4 linked regions of the Drosophila melanogaster genome follow. The protein of the gene in region 4 interacts with the protein of the main gene of each other region in a pairwise test. Each region holds a gene or a part of one and is shown on either strand. Other genes may lie near its edges.

Region 1 (5,235 bases), 1.8 Mb from region 4:
CAGATCGAAAGGGAAGCTGGCTTACAGTCTAACCTCGTCACATTGAACCATAATTTTAACGCCAAAATACCAAATAATGTTTGAAGTAAGTTTTTTTTTAATGTCATATTATAAATGTTATATAAAAATTATCTTTGTAGTCTAATGTTTTAAAATTTATTCAAACAGATATACCCAATTATAAAGTTCCAAGCTAACAAGCAGCGTACTGAGAAAATAAAAAGAATTTCAAATTTCTAGAATGAAATTAAGTGTTGTACTTATATAAGTTGGACTGTAGCATAATGCCCTGCTTTTATAGTCTACACTCGAAACTCTTCTCGTTCGAGGGGCTTTATCATCTCGAAGAGCGACCGTGTGGTAATGAGGGATTGCGGTTATAATCTTGCGTCTTGTGCAATTTATGACGTTTGCTTTTTATGGGTTTTAAACGTTTAACGTTTTTGCATCTTGCACCGCCCTTTGGTTTGTTTTTTTTTTCCGTTAGCAGGAAGTCATCATCAATACAGGTTCCCACGATTTCGTACTCCCCAAAAGAACTGCCTCGGCTTTCATAACCAAAAAGCCTAAACTGGTTCGCAAGTTTCTTGATTTTGACACTTTTCTCGACCTCCGGGGTTAGTTAAACCGAAAAGCTGCGTTTACTATTGCCTTAAAGTGCCCTATTTCCTGTTCAGAGACCTTAAGCCCTTACAGCCCATTAAAGACTGTTGATTTACGTCAACCTTTCGAGAGTGGTACATACGTACATATATCATGGATTGTGGTCTTATGAGAGGCTTTATGCGCTTTTAATTGATTGCAATGGAAACTATGAAAAGATACGGTTATGCCAGAAGGGCAGACACGCATTGATAAGTTTCCCTTTCGTTGAAATGAAAAAGGTACTATATTCGTTAATGAATGAATAACGGTAAGCGAGTCGCCCAATTAAGTAAAATAAAGAATAACCAAATAGACAATGGGAAAGCGTTGCGGCCATCATTAAAAATAAGAAACGCTAAACCCTGAATATCACAGCACAGTGGGACCTTCCTATCTTGAACTTGTAATTATTGTACGTTATAAAGATTTAAATAGATTTATATCGTATATCACAGAAACCAATAGAAATGTACCGTTTTTGTTAAGTCAGAGGTAATTTTTGGTAGTTTTCAAAACAACCATTTTCCTCAATATTAATGAGAATACGTATGTTAATCGCACAAATATTTGAATATATTGAGAAATGTAGATTATTGAGAGGTTTGCGTGTTGTGAAGATCGATTTTCGATTACTGCACTGTGCGAAAGACAAAACCATCAAGCCGTTATTAAATTTGAATTAGTGACAGGCGCAGCAGGAGCGGAATAAAAAACTAATACCACAACAGCGGCAACAACTATTGCAATTAATGAATTGCTACCTGCCTATTGGTAAACCAGAAAGTGAGCAGATTTTCATTGTTGGCCGATTGTTTGTTGTATTTCGGACTGGCTTATTAAATTATGAATTGCGCAAGTTTCTGTTTTACGATTTTTGTTTTAAGCATTGTTCCCCGCTTGCATATATGTTTTGTTGTTGTCGCTGGCGTGTGCCGTTAGTTGTTGTTGGAGCAACAGGAAATCTATTATTGCGCAAAAATTGCTGGCGAGAAATGCCAATTGCCAAAGTTATTCGCACAACAAAAAAGTGGTAGAAAAGCGCAGAGAAGAAACGAAGGAAAATGTTTTGGGCTCTCGCTCTATCTGGATTTTTATCTCGTTCCCTCTTTTAACTGGATCTCACGCAAGCAACAAGTGCAACTCTGAAATTGCTGCTGTTTTGTGATTCTGCAAATAAGAAAACAGATTCAGCACTAGGCGATCTTCAAATACGCTTTAGCAGGTGCATTTAAAATTCACACCGTTCTGTTTTTTCCTAAGCAGCATGAGTATCAAATTGGGGTAGTATCTTATCTTGTCGGATTTTAATTACTAAGTTTTCCAAAAAAAAAAACTAGACCATTAATGTAGCGGAATAATTGTCGTTCTATTTAAATTTTCCATAATCATATGGAATCATATGACAAACTTGAAGACTTCTCTAGTGCAGGGTATTCATAAACAAGTTGTGTTCTCTTTCTCTCAGCATCTTCGTTTTGGGCTCCGCTAACTGTAAATTTGTTTTCACTTTGTTTTTGTTAATGTCGCTCATTCATTTTGGTATATTTAATAGATAATTTGATTAACGGCAACAACAAGTGGTTCTCAATCGGATATTTTTCCCTCCCTCTCCCTCATCGACACTCTATGGCGCTCTTTATCTCCCTCTCGCTCTTTTGATTTTTGTTGGATGCCACAGGTTGTTGGTAAATGATATCTACAGCTTCCTCTTGCTCGTCTTCCTCTGTTTCTTCGCTTTCTTACTCACTTTTTTCTCCCTCTCTCAGCGACGCGACTTAACTGTTTTTACTGTTTTCTTATTTTATGATTTTTTTTCTGTTCAACACGTTGTATACATTGCACTTGTTGGCTTTTCACAAATTTTGGTTTTTATTGCACTTTCTTTTCTCTCGCACACAAACTCGAAAAGACCATATGTGTTACAGTTACATTTGATAAAACGCCTGCTATTTTTGTTTTGTGGCCTTTTGAATAGTTTACTATTTTAATTTAAAGCCAGCAAACAAGTATTTTCTTCTTCTTTTTGACCTGTTGCTTCCACCACTTTGTCTTGTTGTCTTTTTCTAGTTGTTGAATTGGTATGAGTGTGCGTGCAAACGTTTCGGTGTGTGTGTGTGTCGAATCTGTTTATTAACTTATTTAACCCGTCGCGCATCCGCTTGGCTTCAAGTCTGAAAAACAACTGATCGCCGCAGCGAAACGCAGGTAACCACGAAGGTAAATTAAGGTGAGCTGCGCTTACCTCTCTCTGTGTCGGTAGACAGAGAGCGAGAGAGCAGACCAAACAAGATTCCATCACGCACATACCAGCAAAAACAACAACATGGCCAGGTATGAGTTTGCCAATAGGCCTTGCGGTAGTTGGCAACTCGGCGGAGAGAGTGAGACACAGAGAGCTCAAGGGAGAGAGTTACACAAACTCCGCCAATAAAGCTTGGCTTAAAGCAAAGAGCTAGTCTATAAGTTTCCCACGCTGCGCAAGACAGTTACGCTCAGTGAGCATGACCCGCGCTTTTCCTCTCTCTCTCTGTCTCTTTCTCGTGCTCCCTCTCGCATAGAAGTTACCTGTGCTGCTCCACCAACACATTCGTCCTCCACCACACATACACACGTACACCTGCATACTGTTTGCTCTGCTCTTCTTCTTCCTCCTCCTCTTCTTCGCTTGCTCAATTACCAACGGAGAACGGTGAATGCCCACGTAGAATAGACTGCTTACCTGGTTACCTTACCTTTTGGCCAGAATCATCATTTCCAGCTAGTGGCCATTATTTGGTAAGTATACTAAGTAGTAAATTTCACTGTTTTAGAAGCGGTGGATATGCACAGATCAAAAGCAACAGGCGACGGCGACTAACTGGCTGACAACCGAGCAACGTAAACGCGTTTTGGTCAAAACGAATAAGAGCGGGAGCGAGAGAGAGAGTGGGAAAATCATCGGGAGCGCACAGGTATTGGTGTGCGTGGGCCGCTTTTTTGAGGAGCAACCGTGTCACGACCCCCAACTACTTGCACTTATCGATATCGGAATGTAAACTCCCCTTTTAAAGGTGCAAGATAAATAATTTACTCGAACAATAGTTAGCTTCCTTTAAAAAAAATAAACAATATGAATGCTGGTATTCTTAATTGCCTCGATTTTTTATAACAAATATACCAATAACTACTACATGTTTTTGATCTGAAAGATACGCTAGTGGGAGTGCGAGCGAGAATATACTGTACGAGTAACGGATATACCTAATTCAATTCCTTATAAAAAGCACACAAATGCAGAAAACTGCATCCCTCGACCACATTTATAAGAAAGTAATACCGCCGTAAAAAGTTTAATACGTAAAGGTATTCGAAAAAAAATTGTTTCCCAACTATCACATATCCATCTTTCAATCATAAAAGCACGAGTGCCGAGTAGTTTACCTTACCGGGTCAAAGACGTAGTAAAATTGGCTGCAGAGGATAAGACACATTTAATAGGGAGTTTTTCAGAATATAGCACAATATAAACATATAAAATGACATACTGATAGGGACACAGAGCGAAGATAAAAAATAAAATCATTCTCACAAGATGATCTCGTTTTTGAAGCTGCGACTGAGCTCCTTGTGCGGCAGTACAATGCTGTTCAGCAGGATTTTCTCGGCGGGCACCTGCACGAAACAGCCTGAAATTGAAAATTAGGATTCAAGAATGTCATCACTCAATTCAAAACACCTACCCAGTATGGTTATCGAGGGGTTTAGCTTGCCCTCGTTGTTGAAAAGCGGTGGGTTCTCCATTTTGGCAAAGGGTTTGTTGGGATCGGGATCACTAGGTGTGCCCTCGACTCGAGCCCAAGCTCCAATGGTGGAGCCCCTGCCCACAATAGAGTGCAGCACGAGCGTATGGTCCAGGATCTGTGCCTGCTCCAAAACAATCGATTCGCGAATGCGCACACCTGGTCCAATTGTCACTCCAGGTCCAATCGCCACATTGGGTCCCAGCTGGAACAGGACCTTTTTGTTAGAAGCACTCTAAAAAATAAGTTTGATCTAGACCAACCACTGCGCTGTGATGGACAGTGGCACTGGGATGCACATAGACGTCCGGATGCACTGTGCAGATCAAGCTGCCGTCCCCTTCTCCGCGCTTGATCCCCACATTGGCCAATCTCTCGGGATGCGTTTTCTTGTACAGGCCAAGATAATGACGATTTGCGTAGATTGCCGACCCAGCAGTCTTCAGTTGGGACCACCAGTTAGGCACTGGCATGGCAAAGAGTTTATCGGTTCCAGCCAGGGGCGTAAGCACCTCCTGTTCCCACTTGATGTGCCCCTGCTCTCGTCCATTTCCATTTCCGTTTCCATTGCAAAATGCCTGGCAGCTGTACTCCTGACCTCTCGAATGAAAAATCTGTGCCAACACCGTGAATATATCCATGGAACAGACATACACCCCACAGTTGATAAATGTGGACACATAGGAGCTAGGCTTTTCTACATAATGCGAAACGGCTCCGCTACTCCGATCGAAAACCAGACAGCCGTAGTGCAAGGATTGCTGACGTGTCGCCTCCGTGGACATGATAGTAACCAGAGCACTCGCCGGGC
Region 2 (3,958 bases), about 13 Mb from region 4:
ATAAAACAAAAATTTTCCAAAAAAAGTCATTACATTGAAAAAAAATTGTCTACAAATAATACGTTGTAGAAAATACTGCTTAAAAAACTGTTTATTACAAAAGTCTTGAAAAATCTTGAGGCACGAAGTGCGGACACAACGTCGCGAGCTGAATACTCTAATGACAATTATTTTAATATAGTCATTTTTGAAATTTATTTTGTGATATTATGATTCGGCTATTTCTATTTCTAAGCTTTATTAAATAATAGTAACGTTAAGGCAATGCAAAACAATAATTTTTCACATGGTGCCTATTTATCAAAAATAATATAGATTTAAAGTCTAAGAACTTTTAAGGTGAAGGGCATATTTTGTCAAATTTACAATGCATGAGCATACGTGTGCACACATACAGTTGTCTGCTATCACTGCAGGCGTCGAAAAGAGCTGTTCGCTGTAGCGCTCTCCGCTCTCTCGCTCTCGAACAAAAATTTGAGAGTATGGCACTACGCATCTGTTACTCTAGTGTCTTCGGTTCGGTGACTTGGTCCCTGTCTCCGGCTCGATGAACCAAAGGCAATGTTTGACGACCCTAAACGAAAATGCGTTTCCTTCTGGAAATAGGCTGATCGAGGATCATTTATCCTGCAGAAAGATTATGCTCCGTGCCACAAAGCCCGAATGATAGCCAAGTTTCTAAAGGCTGTTGGCGTCACTCTCTTGAATTGTGCACCTCAAAGTCCAGATTTAAATATAATTAAGAAATCTGGTCTCTTTTAAAACGGAAAATAACTGTTCCGTGACACAAAACTCGTTAGAAGGCGATTTCTGAAATCACTTCTCTTTTTAAAGAGATGATCCTTTACAATATGGAGGATTTAGTAAAGGTTCGACTTACTTACACACAAAAAATAGACATTACTATCATATTAAACCATTTAAAAGTTTCACTGAAAAAAGGTTTGGAGTTTATTTTGTCAAAATGCTTACCGACTAGTGTATGTGGATACAGCAACACAGCGCACAAGATAATCTCGTGTTCATATGTACATGTTACAGAACGACGTAACGTAACATAATTAATTACCAGCTTGATATAGGAAATCAAGACAGTAATGACCTTACTAACTACTTTAATTAATTTATAAATAAAATATTTGTAAGTTGGGTAATTTAATAATAGCTATCAACAAAATTAAAAACAGTACGAATAATTCATGTCTCGCCAAACCGTTCCACACAATATCAGTAATAACCGTAATAAACATTTAAAATACCTTTTTTTAGGTCTTCCGTAGGTAAAATTCCCGTGGAGAAATAAAATATCATTTCAACAATTTGTTCAGATTGACCTCTTTAATAAAAAAAAGTGCTTTCATGACTCTGAAGGAAATTCCGGAGTTTGGATTTATCGCTACTATAGTAATCAAATATATTAATTCTCAAAATTTAAATATATAACAGAAATAAGAAGTGAATGGCGCACTGAACACATGAAACATAAAAAATGAAGTGAATAGTCTTCTTTGGGGTTTAAAAAACACAAACTCCTCACTCCGCCCCTTAATACAATAAGCATGTTGTAACATTTAAATTGAACTTTAACTTTATTAAAAGGAAAACACCTCTAACAAATATATCGAAGGGAAAATTTCAATACTAGTTTTAAGTAGTTGGGAAACTACATCTGAAATATTAGTTGGCAGTTACTCTGCTATTCATGTAAAATTGCTGGGCGGAGAGCAACAAAGTCAAAACATATATACATGCGGCAATCCAGCAGTTGTAGGCATTCTGAAAAAATTTACCTTGCATTAGCAGACGTATGTGTACATATGGTTGTTGTAAAAAGAGAACATACCTGATTGTATGCTCTATTTGCAGCTGCATAAAAATCTTCCAACGAATGGTATTCCTCCTCAAGAGGTAAGTCCTCAATGAGGGCTACACTATTTATGTAGAAGAATAGACCCATTAAAACCTTTAACATAAATATGTAAGTGGTTACTTTTTGAAACTTTGACGAAATTAGATTCTCAGTACTCACCAATTGGACAATACCCCAAACAGAGATAATAAGACCACAAAGTGATAGTTTCGGGCCACAGATTTTCATTTTCTTAAATTTTTGTTAAACACTTTTAAGAGAATAAAAAGTTTCAGCAAACACAATTCGTCACAATTCCTCAATGAAAACTGTGATTTTGTCAGGTGAACATATCATGTGACCAAACTTTTGGTGTGGCTGTGCACAAATAAAATTAAAAAACTGATGCAAATGTAAGCGATAAAAAACATAAGCTCGTCAAACTAGCGTCGGTGAGCTAGTGACGATTTAGGAGCGGTGGAAAAGGAACAAGGGCCGTTTTAGTAATTTTAGTCACTGCCCGGAGCGTGTGAAGCGCAATGGTCAACATTCTACTGCCCGGAGCGTGTGAAGCGCGATGTCAGCATTCTGCCGTGAGCGCTGCTTCAGAAAACGGGCTACTTCATATTAAGCTTAAGTTTTCTGTCTTTAGTTTTAAAACTCATCAGAACGCGCATAGTCGCATAATAAATCGCAATACACAAAATCGTTGCCTGTTAATTTATATAACAATATATATATAATATATTATAATATATATATTATATATATATATATATATATACAATACAATACAATAAGTATAATAAATAAATATATATATACATATATATATATATAATAATAATAATTTTAATATTATTAATTTTATTATTATAATTATTAATATTTTAATATATATGTCGGAGATTGAGTAGATCTAACATATTATTTGAATTATTATTTGAATGTAACCGACATTTGTTTATTGATCCGTATGTTAAGGATGAGCAGCGAGTAATAAAATTCACGGAATGAGTTCCGTTATTGAGTGGGCATCATTTGTGTGTGTATTCAAATTAGCATGGCGCCTGTTGTTGTTGTGGTAGAGTTTTGTGGAAACGAAGTAAGGATAAAACAAAAAAAGAATTTTGAAGATGAGAAATAGAAGAATAGCATCGAGAAGGCGACGCTTGAGTAAATAAGTCTGGTGAGAACTGCCAAAGAGACAACACGCAGGCGACTTGCTGTGCTAATTAATTGGACGCTCGGCTTCACCGACATATATATATTATATTATATCATATATATATATTAACATATCCATTCTATACCCACAACTCCCCAACCACACACACTATCGTAAACAATTACACACACACATCAATGTGTAAGTACGAAATGTAATTAAAGATCGAGAGCCCTTCGATTAAGCTTAGCTGTCAATTACTCACAGCAAAGTGCAAAAGTCCGAATTCCAAAGTCTAGACTCTGCGTCGAGCCAACGTCCACGTCCCCTAAATATCCGATCACTTGGTGAACCAACTGAAATAACAAAAACTTCCGCCCACACAATCGTCTCAGGATTCTCCAATTAATCCTATTTTTCGGAAGCTCCTCTCTTAACAGGAGAATAGACGTTGATAACGTTGTTCTCTTAAGCTTCGCTCTTAAGCTATCCCAATCTGCCTACATAAACCCAAACATGCCCCAATACGTTAGTTCAGTTCTGAGTACGTTATCAATCGCCATAACCCTGCTTAAGATTGAACCACGCGAATCGGCGCTAAAGTGAACATAAAATCGTAATACAATTAACTCTTTTATCCGCAAAAGAACTACTTATAATCGGTGGTTGACACGCAATAGTCAAACCTACTGCATACGGTCAATAAAAGTGTAAAAACAAAAATAAAAATAAAATCATCAGCCATGGCAACCGAGCAAGTCAAACTGTTATCGGAATCCCATCTGAATCAAGCCTTAAGCCAAATTAGGCAAATACCCACATTCAGTGGTAATACCCCAGAACTCAGTGCCTTTATCCGAAAGATCGATTTCATACTTCCAGTCTATCCATCAACCGACACCAGTTAAAAACATGTATTCTTCAGCGCAATTGAGATGCAA
Region 3 (5,148 bases), on a different chromosome or scaffold from region 4:
GGTGACGGGGTTGCCACAAAAGCGCTACTACCGCCAGCGTGCGCACTCGAATCCCATTGCGGACCACAGCTTCGACTAGTGAGTAGACCACGAAATGGACTGCACACACTAAAGGCTCCTTCACATAGTCCTGCTCGCCCGGAAGATGTGGACTGGCGCTCCATGTACCCAGGCATTCAGCAGGGCCAGCAGGTAAGTTTTGCGGACATAGGCTGCGGCTATGGCGGCTTTCTCGTCACCCTGGGGGAGATGTTCCCCGAGAAGCTGTCCATCGGCATGGAAATCCGCGTCAAGGTGTCGGACTACGTGGTGGACCGGATTGCGGCACTGCGTCGACGATGCGCGGATACGGGTGCATACCAGAACATTGCCTGCTTACGCACCAACGCCATGAAGTATCTGCCCAACTACTTCGTAAAGGGCCAGCTGGAGAAGATGTTCTTCCTCTACCCGGACCCACATTTCAAGCGCGCCAAGCACAAGTGGCGTATTATCAACCAGGCTCTACTCTCCGAATATGCCTATATCCTCAGGAAGGGGGTAAGTCCAACAGTTTCCTGAAAGTACTCGAAATGCGGTCTGCTTACTGCTTAGTCTGCTTACCCAGGGTCTGTTGTACACCATGACGGACGTTGAGGACTTGCACAAGTGGATAGTGACACATATGGAGGAGCATCCGCTGTACGAGCGTCTTACCGAAGAGGAGGCCGTACGTAGTTCAAAACCGAGATCACGCAGCCAAGTCACACATTAATCATTACGTTTAAACCCACAGAATGCTGATCCCATCACCCCGAAGCTGTACCAAAGCAGCGAGGAGGGCGCTAAGGTGGTTCGAAACAAGGGCGATCATTTTCTGGCCATTTTCCGGCGCCTTTAGGACACGTATATTCTCTATATATGTAGACATTAATTTAAGGTTTCCTTAGAGTAAAGAGATCTATCGATTGTTAAATCAACTTGTTCACATGTCCCAAGCCCTTGCAGCTGACTAGCATCTGGCCGCCGGGCTCCATCGCCACATCGAACTTGACCCCTGTCATTTGCTCGGCTACATTGATGGCGGTGCGCGTGTGATTGGTCAGCTTGCCTGTGCGCATCGTTGAGCGGCCCACGGCCAGGGCCATGTAGATGATGAGCTGGTCCTGCATGTAATCATCAACGCAGACCTGTTTGCGCATGTAGTCGCCCAGTTGGCACGACGCCTCTGAGCCGAGAACGTGTCCGTCGATCCTCTTTTTGCCCAATGCAGAAGCACCTAGGACAACGTCGGAGGTCGTGTTGACAGTCATCAGGATGCCGGCTCCGTTGTGGAATGCCTTCTGGCGTGAATGCTTAATCGGCTCGATGCTGCACTGCTGGGACGGCCACAAACGATGTATCTCGCGTTGAGCCGTCTGTTGCATGTCAATAGCAATATTTACCGGCAAGCGGCCGGCGCAGTAGGCCACTCCGCTGACCGATTTGATGCGGCCGAAAGCCACTAATTTTCCGGAATTCAGCTTGGTCACGGGTTGCACGTCCAACTGGCATCTGCCTTGGCCGCGTGGATAGAAGCCGTACCGCTGCACCTTCAGGTCGAAACTAACCCCGAAGTGTTTTAGGTTGGGCAGCAGCACCTCCTGCATGTATTCCACCGGAGGCGCAAAGTCGACGTTCGTGCCCCCGGATACGATCAGGCGGGACGGGCGTCCGGCAAAGAGAAGTACTGGGAGCGCCATCTGATAAATCAGAGTAATGCTGGCCGCCGTGTGCGTTTCCACGCGATACGTGTTGTCCAAAATGGTGCGCGGCGTGAACTCCACTGTGGAGGAGAGCAAGTAGTTTCCCACCACGTCCGCATTGGTTATGTCCCGCAGGAGGTTCAGCCCATGCAGGTGCTGGTGCGAGAGCCCAGGACTCGGGCGGCTGGCCCGGATCTTTACCACGCGCACCGGTTTACCCAAAATGCAGCTGAGGCTGAGGGCGTTGCGCAGGGCCTGCCCGCCGCCCTCCAAGTAGGAGCCGTCGATCTCCAACATTTTTTCCGCGTCCATTTTCCCAATTTATTTATGTTCAGGGATTTTCAGTCTGGTTTCCTCTCAGGTTGTCAGCCAAGTGTGTGTCAGAACAATCGGAGCAATCAAATATCACAATGACAGGGGCTAAGAATAACAGCTCCATTTCACTCGATTGGGACGGCACACTGTGATCCGGGCAGTGTGCCCGACGCTCGCGTTTGCTTGGAAACAAACACCTGCCACTGTGGAACCACTCAAGGCGCGCACCATTCGAACTGGTCCGGCAGCACTGGCCAGACGTAAACAAGCGAACTTTTACAAAATAATACATTACCAGCGCAATAGTTAAAAGTTAACTAGAGATGGCTGTGTAAGTGTGCAGTGTCCGCCGGCGCATGGTCGTACGTGCCGCCTTCAGGCGATTAACTTATCTGCAACGTGCCATCGCGAAGGCAATTATGTATCTTGTTCTAGTCCAGCTTAGCAGTGGTTTAACTGGCCCGAGGCATCGAAGGCGAATCACTTGGCAATTGGGCAATCGCTAGCTTGGTCCTCCTTCTCCACTGGAATGCTTGACTGGCCTTTTTGCCTGTCCGTGTCCAAAGTAGGAGGGCTGCAAATAAGAAAAAAGTAACTAATAACTAATACATTTAATTGAAACCACTTTCCGTTGGAAAATGCTCTTCGAGTTTTTAAGGCTCAACTGTATTTTGAGAGTCCCATTCCCTGGGTCTGATAAAAATAAGCCTATCCGCATAACTGGACTGTGTCAACATTCGCTCAAGCAGACATTGACGGAATGGGCTTAGGACATAATACACCTGACATGGCTTCCATGCGTATAGAATGATATTGAATGTGTACGCTCTTAAGAGCATTATTTTCGAACTCCTTAACCAAAGACAAGAATACAATGTGTCCAAAGATACAATGTTTACCTCGAGATAGCGAGATATCAACAATTTGTTCGGTACTATCCGTATCAACAGGTCTAAGGAACAGCCATTTCCCAATTACTTACGAAGGCAGTGACGGAAAATTTGGTTTACTTATCGTTCTGGTTATTCCACTCGAAGAGTCATGGCAACCGCAATAAAACGCTGGTATTTCGTGTTCTTGTTCTAGTTCCGCTGGCGGTGATGCAATTCTGCCGGCACTGACTGTGGCACGATGGGCTTAGCTCAGCTCAGCCAACAGGTACATATGTTGGTCGCCAAGTGCATTGGTCCGAATCGCGAAGAAGGCCAGCTATGTGTTACCCTCTACGACTTCTTGGTGCTGGCCACAGGCTGGTGGAGGAGATTGCTTCGAAGTGAAGTGCGGCGACGGCAAGGTCGCGAAGTTTTTGTTAGTGGAACACACGAGAATGGTCGGAAAGGCTGACAACTGCGGTCAGCGTTATAGTTTCCAGCGCTCTGCATTGGGTACCTCATAGGTAGTTTATCCTGCCAAGAAATTTTCTTGTTTCGTCTAGGTAGTCTTGGCGCTTGTTTCATCTATAATCGCATTATACACATGAGAGATGCATTGAACAGGGAGCGTTGCGATTACACAGTAGGGCTGGCTCCTAGTATCTTGACCGTTCCTGTGTCCACGGACACACACAGAGCCCAGAAGTGCGTGTGTGTTGGGGAGGCACGAAGCTTCCAGTTCCAGTCGAATCCAGCGACGAAGTTGCGCGCCATACGCGGTCCGCAGTTCACGCGCGCCAGACGTGCCTCGCATTGCATTGGCTCTTGCTCTCCCGGCTCTCTCGCAGCGTTCCTGGTCCACTCGACTCCACTTCGCTTATCTCGGCACAGACGCGGACCCCCGACCTGTTGCACGCTCCCAGGCTCTCATCCTCCCTTCCACGCGATATTCCAGTTGTTTTGTTTTTGTTTTGTTTAGTGTTGTTGTGGAGAGTGGTGAGTGATGATTGGCGACTAAAAGCAATTCGCAAATAAACAACGACGTGTGTTGTGTGTGCTGCAAAAAACAGCATCTCGGACACGTTTGGGGGAGTTCAGCACATCCATCTGCGGCTGATGACTCAGGCTGTGGAGGAATAATTAAATAGAAATGATTAACACGCGGGAACTAACTAACTGATAACGAGCTTTGGCACAGTGATTGATTGTTATTAAGTGAAAAGTAAAGCTCCTAAACTGGCCACTCAACTTTCAGGTGGCAGTCCCCTCGCACAGCTCTGAGCTTGGTCAAAACGAAACGAGCCTTTGAAGGCCTTCTGAGGATACGCAAGCTCCCGTCCAGCCAATCCTGGAGGATACTCAACGCCCCGTCTTTTGCGAGCCACATCAACAACCGCCTGTTAAACACAATGGGTTCCGTCAACTGCAAGGAGTACAAGACCACGGGCAGCACTCCCAAAAAGGAGAAGTCGACAGGTAAATGCACGATTTACAGATGAATAGTTTTCGAAAGGTCAATTGCCAAACAACAAGGCAAGGTCGCATTTCCAATTTGACTGCGCCACTTCTAATCTCGCAAATGGTTTCTTCCCAATAAAATAAGATCATCTTGCCCAAAAAAAAAGTTCCAAATGTACTTAAACCAATCCCTTCGTTTTCCGACTTCAATTCGAAAAGTGCGTGGTAATGTCGTAGATGATCCGATTGCCACCAGTGCCGTGTTCCTTTTACCAACTAAACGAGGCCAAATGGCTTGGAGTTGTGATTAGGAGAGTGGGAATGACCCGCATTAGATGGGTGTTTTCGGGCCGGGCGTAGGTGCCTAGATGATTGTCTCAGCGGCACAAGTCCAAGAGATTGGCAAAGAGATAGGGACGGCGGGAGGGCGCAACTTGCTTGAACTGCTGCTGCGTCATTGCCACAGTAGCTATCGATGCGGGAATACTTAATCCCGGGTACTAATTCCCCTAAAGCGACAGTTTCCCTGTGGATATCCAATAGCATGGCCATCTTTACCACCTTGAATGGAGTTACAGGAGCTCCTATGTATGGTTGCGACGCTCTGAAGTTTCCTGTTCTGAGTCTTACAGGGTATCTTTGCGTGTCTCTGTTAGGCAATGGCCACTGTACCACTGCGGTTAGTCACCGCCATCGGAATTTCGTCTGTGTTGTGTGCCTGCCTATTGTCTATTGCCATGTCTTGCATTCGTTCTCTTGGGCTCTCCAATGAGGCCCCA
Region 4 (6,308 bases):
CTTTTAAGCTTCAAAATATACTCCATGCACTTCACGTAATACCTAATTTACACGAATTTAACAACGGGTTTTCGTCGAGTTCCGGTTTTTCCTGAAAGCATACGTTATCAAAAAGTGACTTGAGAAGTGATTAAAAGTGTTAATTGCAAACGAGAATCCGTGCGATCAAATATACGAATGCATTCAGATAGAAAGCAGCCCAAATGCGTAATCGTTCTATCACATAAAAGTCAAATAATCAAGATTTATCCACTTTATTAAACACACCCAATCTGGACCAAAATAGATTAAATTCTAATACTCTCCCATATTCCGAACCATCTTGCATGGCGCTAATGAACCGAGACGAGTTCCCAAACCACACGGCGAATATCGCTGGATCGGTCGGATCGCACACATCAAAACAGATATAGCACATACTCGTATACGATATGCATGGTATAATCAACGCGTTTCGATTTCTGTATAATTCCGAATCACTGGACTTGGGATTTATGGATTTGAATGGATCGGGTGGGGGCGAGGTTGGCCAGTTTATAGCCTGAAACCTACTAGTCTAATGGCTATATAAGCCCCGATCGACGGTCGAGACAAAAACATTTGTGTGGACCGTGCGAGCGCGTTAGGTTAGTCTATTGGGAATTACTTGCGATTACTCGCATCAGAAAAATTTGTGCAATAGTATCTCGTATTTGCAATAGACAAGCAAATCGGCTGATAAGCCGATCATATGCAATCAAATATAATTAGTGCATCGCCGTTTCACCCTTCGACTACAAAACCAGTCGGAACTAATAGTTTCGTCTTTTGGCAGATCAGTATGAAGCTTCTGTTGGTTCTTCCACTTCTGGTGGCTGTGGTCTCTGGCCAGGGATTCGGAGGCGGTGGATTTGGAGGCGGATTTGGAGGTGGACTCGGAGGCGGATTTGGAGGTGGACTCGGAGGCTTGGGCAACAATCGAGTGGGTGGAGCTTTACAAAATGTGGCCGGCGCCGTTCAGAATGCCGTGGGCAACATTGCCAAGGCTGTGCCCAAGGTGCCGCTGCTCTCAAACGTCCAGGACTTTGGTGACTTCTTGGTGAGATAGGCAGCATTGATCAATTTCAAAGGTAGAAGTAAAACTTCAACCGATTTGCAGAGCCAATCTGGAAAGACCTATCTCTCCGCCGCTGATCGCGCTCTTCATGAAGGTGCCTTCGCTTCCACCAAGAACCTGGTGGAAGCCGGAAACGCAGCCTTTGCCCAAGGAGTGCACACCTTCAAGCAGGCCGTGAACGCCTTCGCCGATCTGACCCACTCTGAGTTCCTTAGTCAATTGACCGGTCTGAAGAGAAGTCCGGAGGCTAAGTAAGTGCTAACAAACCATTTGCACAGCCGGCATAGGATTTTATCAATTCTATATCTGCACCCAGGGCTCGAGCTGCTGCCAGTTTGAAGTTGGTCAACCTGCCTGCGAAGCCCATCCCGGATGCCTTCGATTGGCGCGAGCATGGCGGTGTCACACCAGTCAAATTCCAGGGTACCTGTGGCTCCTGTTGGGCCTTTGCCACCACTGGTGCCATTGAGGGACACACCTTCCGCAAGACCGGCAGCCTGCCCAATCTCTCTGAGCAGAATCTGGTCGACTGTGGTCCGGTGGAGGACTTTGGCCTGAATGGCTGCGATGGTGGCTTCCAGGAGGCCGCATTCTGTTTCATCGATGAGGTGCAAAAGGGTGTGTCCCAGGAGGGGGCCTATCCCTACATTGACAACAAGGGCACGTGCAAGTACGATGGCAGCAAGTCCGGAGCCACCCTCCAGGGATTCGCCGCTATTCCGCCCAAGGACGAGGAGCAGCTGAAGAAGGTGGTGGCCACTCTGGGACCAGTTGCCTGTTCGGTGAATGGTTTGGAGACTCTTAAGAACTACGCCGGTGGCATCTATAACGACGATGAGTGCAACAAGGGCGAGCCGAACCACTCCATTCTGGTCGTCGGTTACGGATCGGAGAAAGGACAGGATTACTGGATCGTCAAGAACTCCTGGGACGACACCTGGGGCGAAAAGGGCTACTTCCGCCTGCCTCGCGGCAAAAACTACTGCTTCATTGCTGAGGAGTGCTCCTATCCCGTGGTTTAAGCGGGGAATCCGAAATTTATGGCAAAATTTACTGTGCAGTTTGTGATGTGGACTTGGCGTTGGTTGCGTCCATTTCTTAAATAAAAGTCTTTTCTTAATTATAATGCTGCTAAATTAGAGTAGTTAAACGAAAGTAATGCAATGCATTGCTTTGCTTAAATATTTACAGATAACAAATTAAAGAGGAATAAACAAGAATCTTTTGGAAATTTAAAACTATTCACGGGTTAATTGGGCACTAAACGAACTTTAGAGGAGTTCAGCAATTTGATGTGAACAATAACCAGACCTTTATGTCCAAACAAGAAGATCTAGATATTCGGGTAAATTAAAAAAATGTTTGGGGATAGTAACGGAAATAACGCTTGACATTTTAAAACCTGTTAAAAGCGTTGCCAGATGCGGATATTTACAGCAAGAAAGCAAGTAATCGATGATTTCCCCAGTTGGGGATATCGATTATTGCCAAATTTGTGTAAACATCGATGGTATCGCTGTACCGAGACAACAATAATAGAAATAAATTAAGTCAATTGGCGAATTAAACTATATTAGGCGCAGAAAAAACGGCGGACATTTGATGAGCAGCAGGCGGGGAATGCCGTGACGAAAGGCGGCAGTGCGTCCGATGGAAGGCCACCGCGCAACAGTGTTCCTGCAGGTGTGTCTGCTCCGGAAGCGATGTTCTGATCAGAAGAGACCAGCCCACTTTTGGGAAAGTGGGCGTTGTCACCAGAGCGCACGAAACCAAAGCCCCCGGCCACCTGTCTTTCTCCCACTGTGTGTGTGCTAATCGAGGTTTCCCCTTGCCCCTTCCTTTCCAGAAATGTACGCGATAGTGGTGCATGTGCATTGCGACTAATCCAAAGAGTCCCCCTGTGGTCATAACGCATTTAACAACCATCGCAGCCAAATAGTCACGTTTCTCCAGAGATCCCCGTGTGTCTGCACTTTCCCCATCCCCGATAACCCCGCCCCAAGCATGGACGAAGATATCCTAAACGCTGTGGAGTCCCTGTTCGGCAAGGATGTCAAGATCGTGGACTGCGAAACCTCATCCTCGCTGCAGCAGGAGGAGGTGTTGCTGGTCAACGGAGTGCCGGTGAAGCTGGATGGGCTGCCGGCGGATGATGCCAGTGCCATAAAGGCAGCTTTGCTGGAGGGGCAGATGCCATCGGTTGAGCACCTGAATCAATTGCTCTTCCGCGCCGGATTGGCCCAACAGCCCATCGAGGTAGAGACCTCGTTGACCGTCAAGTCCTCTCTGACCACCACGGAGGAGGTGCTGGTCTCGCGCAACGGACAAATCCTAGACGAACGCACCGTGGAGACCAAGGAAAACTTTAACCATCAGTCGCACCAGAAAGAGATCTGGCATCCTGTCAAGCAGCAGTCGGCCTTGGCGCGTGCCACTCCCGAGAATGCCCTCAAATACCGAACCACTTCGAATTCCACGTTCGCATCGCAGGCCACAGACTCGGACGAGCGTCCAGTTGATCCTTTGGGCCGGCAGCTGAACCAAACCTTCTCGAATGCTTCCCTTATGTCCAGCAGCTCTGCTATTACTGGATCCGATCAGGTCATCGGATCTGTATCATCCACCACTATTGGGGACAAAAGCTCGAATATAAGCAGCTGCGACTCCGGGCACGATGGCCTCTTCCACAGCGTGTCGATGAGTGCACCCTGGTCACATCCACGTGACACCTTAACCGACTCTTTGTACTGCGACATTCCCAGCTCCGCAGATGAGTCGGATGCGGTTTCTATCCTAGTAAGTTTGAACGGATTTGCCAGTCGCTAAATAACTAATAATTTACCTAAATTAGAACACCCACTTGAAGATCACAGAGCCATTCGATTGCCAAACAGCGCCAGTTTACGCCAAAGACATACCCAAGAAGGGCAACCTGGATTCGGTGGTCAACCTGCTTATCAATAATAATACTAAGGATTTGCGGTTTGCCTTTCTGACCACTTCCCGCTTGTTTTCACCACCACACCAGCTGCTTTCCAAAATCATTGCCAAGATTGATAATGAGGAGGAAAACGTGTTACGACTTTTGAACGAATGGCTAGACACCTGTCCCGGGGACTTTAGCCATGAACTGCTATTGCAGGAGCTGGAAAATAAGCGTAATGTAAAAGGATTGGCAGCTTTTTTGGATGGAATTCCCCAAGCTTTGGCGCAAAAGGACGAAAATGGACGAAGTCAACTAAATAACCTGCTTACCAAGCAATCGTCGGCCAGCTCGTTGGGACGTCAGAGCAGTATTAAGTCGCTGAAACGCTTTGCCGCCAATGTCTACAAAACAGACAATGTGCTAAACAACTGCAGCAGTGCCTTCGAGTTGGCTCACCAACTTTATGCCATCGAGTACGCCTATCTGTCACAAATACGTCTTGAGGAGTTTGTGGAAATCCTCGAAAAGGATGAGCTGAAGACCTGCATAAGCCAAACCAAGGCGGGCACCTTGGGTTCGAATTGCATCAGCCAGGTGACAATCGACAGTTACGTGCAGTGGTTCAACCAGCTAAGCTACTTGACTGCAACGGAAATATTAAAGGTGAGTACTAAAAAAAAAATTAACCATTAATCAAATAAAAAATATGATTCGTTCGTTCCTAGTTGGGCAAAAAGTCCCAGAGAGCACAAATGATCGACTTCTGGGTGGAAACAGCTCTGGAATGCTTTAACACAGGCAACTTCAACAGCTTGATGGCCATTCTAACAGCATTGAATCTTACTGCCATAGCTCGCCTAAAGAAAACGGTGAGTTTTCGTTAAGTAAAACGAGTGAAGTCTGATTTTACTACTATTTTTTATAGTGGGCCAAAGTGCAGACGACAAAGTTCGAGGGTTTGGAGCATCAAATGGATCCCAGTTCGAACTTTCTTAACTACAGATCCACCATGAAGGCAGCTGTTTGGCGTTCGGAAAGGGAAATGGCCAACGAAATTGAGCGTGCCATCATCCCATTCTTCTCGCTGTTCCTCAAAGATTTGCATGCCATTAACGAGAGCCATGAAACAAAGTGAGTTTGTTTGTGCATAAATGAGCTCTGTTTCGAGATTAACCGAATTCAAATCCGTTTGCAGATTGGCCAACGGATACATAAACTTTGAGAAGTGCCTTCATTTGGGCACCCAGCTGCGGAATTTTGGCAAATGGCAGCGATTGGACTGTCCATACGAGCAGTTGCCTAGTGTGGTGTCCTACCTGTTGAAGGCGGAGGTGCTGAGCGAGGATCTTTTGATGAAGGCCTCCTACGAAAGCGAGCCACCCGAGACCGGCGAGGAGAAGGATCACTACAAGACGTTGAAAGCTGCAAGGAAATCGAACACATAATCACCAATCATTAACGACAATCCTCGAGATAGTGCAATACAATACAAAACGATGCAATAATTCTCGCACTCTTTCGTTGGCGTTCCATTTTCACATTTTGCATTTGTATCGCGATAAAACAGTAACAATAATAACTCTTACACTTCCACTGTGTTTGTTAATTTGTACTTAAGCTTAGACGACGGTATATATTTATTTGCATTCGAATTATATATATACAAGTGACGGGCATTTAATTAGAAACACCAAAAATATGCATAAAATTACTAAAGTAATGTTTTAAATGTTGTATTTTAGCAGTTATATACCCCGAAAAATACATAAAAATAAAAGACTTCGATAAATCCCAAAGTTTTCCCTAACGAATGGTGGCGAACTTCTGAAAGTCGACCGTTCCAAACTTGCCAAACAGTTCCAGAGGATAGTGCTTGCCCTCGACGGGCGCATGGATGCGGATCTGGCGCATGTGGGTGTCCCTGCCATTCTGGTGGTTCGAGATCACAGCAATCTGAAGCATGAAGGTGCGTATGGACTTGACGTTCCCATCCTTAATGGGTATCTGCACCCAGCCGGTGGGTTCGGTCAGGTCCATCACCTGCAGCTCCTGCAAGTCGTTGAAGTTCGTTCCAGATCGTATGGAGATCCTTGATGGCGTGTAACTCTCGTCCAGCTTGTAATCCGTGTATATGTAAATCTGACTGATGTTCGTACGCTTGTGGAATTGAATGTTGACCAGGTGGGGAAGCTGACCGTCCGACTGCCAATAAGTATCCATGATGTTGTCTCGCAAACGCTCTACACCAAATCCTGAAGGCCAAAGAAAATTGTAGAATATGTAAGG

What was found.
Region 1: the proteins of CG4853 (region 4) and fus interact in a two-hybrid assay, tested with the Drosophila melanogaster proteins (one large-scale study listed by BioGRID).
Region 2: the proteins of CG4853 (region 4) and RNASEK interact in a two-hybrid assay, tested with the Drosophila melanogaster proteins (one large-scale study listed by BioGRID).
Region 3: the proteins of CG4853 (region 4) and Rtca interact in a two-hybrid assay, tested with the Drosophila melanogaster proteins (one large-scale study listed by BioGRID).

The regions. Positions count from the first base shown.
Region 1 is NT_033778.4:15,673,125-15,678,359, forward strand, and holds the start of fus (fusilli), read right to left. Parts: upstream 3,546-5,235; 5' UTR 3,378-3,545; exon of another isoform or gene 3,317-3,377; intron 2,830-3,316; exon of another isoform or gene 2,393-2,829; intron 1-2,392. Other genes in the region: Gmppa (GDP-mannose pyrophosphorylase A), read right to left, coding at 4,210-4,310, 4,365-4,629, 4,688-5,235.
Region 2 is NT_033778.4:4,185,917-4,189,874, forward strand, and holds RNASEK (ribonuclease kappa), read right to left. Parts: upstream 2,212-3,958; 5' UTR 2,099-2,211; coding exon 2,030-2,098; intron 1,964-2,029; coding exon 1,844-1,963; intron 1,777-1,843; coding exon 1,678-1,776; 3' UTR 919-1,677; downstream 1-918.
Region 3 is NC_004354.4:2,070,599-2,075,746, reverse strand, and holds Rtca (RNA 3'-terminal phosphate cyclase), read right to left. Parts: upstream 3,335-5,148; 5' UTR 3,022-3,334; intron 2,631-3,021; exon of another isoform or gene 2,614-2,630; 5' UTR 2,037-2,613; coding exon 951-2,036; 3' UTR 881-950; downstream 1-880. Other genes in the region: CG4045 (uncharacterized protein), read left to right, coding at 1-78, 129-540, 608-709, 776-880; CG4199 (uncharacterized protein), read left to right, coding at 4,321-4,387. UniProt on the Drosophila melanogaster protein: Catalyzes the conversion of 3'-phosphate to a 2',3'-cyclic phosphodiester at the end of RNA.
Region 4 is NT_033778.4:17,511,638-17,517,945, forward strand, and holds CG4853 (uncharacterized protein), read left to right. Parts: upstream 1-2,579; 5' UTR 2,580-2,779; exon of another isoform or gene 2,780-2,942; 5' UTR 2,943-3,100; coding exon 3,101-3,892; intron 3,893-3,947; coding exon 3,948-4,685; intron 4,686-4,747; coding exon 4,748-4,891; intron 4,892-4,947; coding exon 4,948-5,153; intron 5,154-5,217; coding exon 5,218-5,467; 3' UTR 5,468-5,808; downstream 5,809-6,308. Other genes in the region: CtsK2 (cathepsin K2), read left to right, coding at 731-1,078, 1,139-1,347, 1,413-2,118; APC10 (anaphase promoting complex subunit 10), read right to left, coding at 5,826-6,274.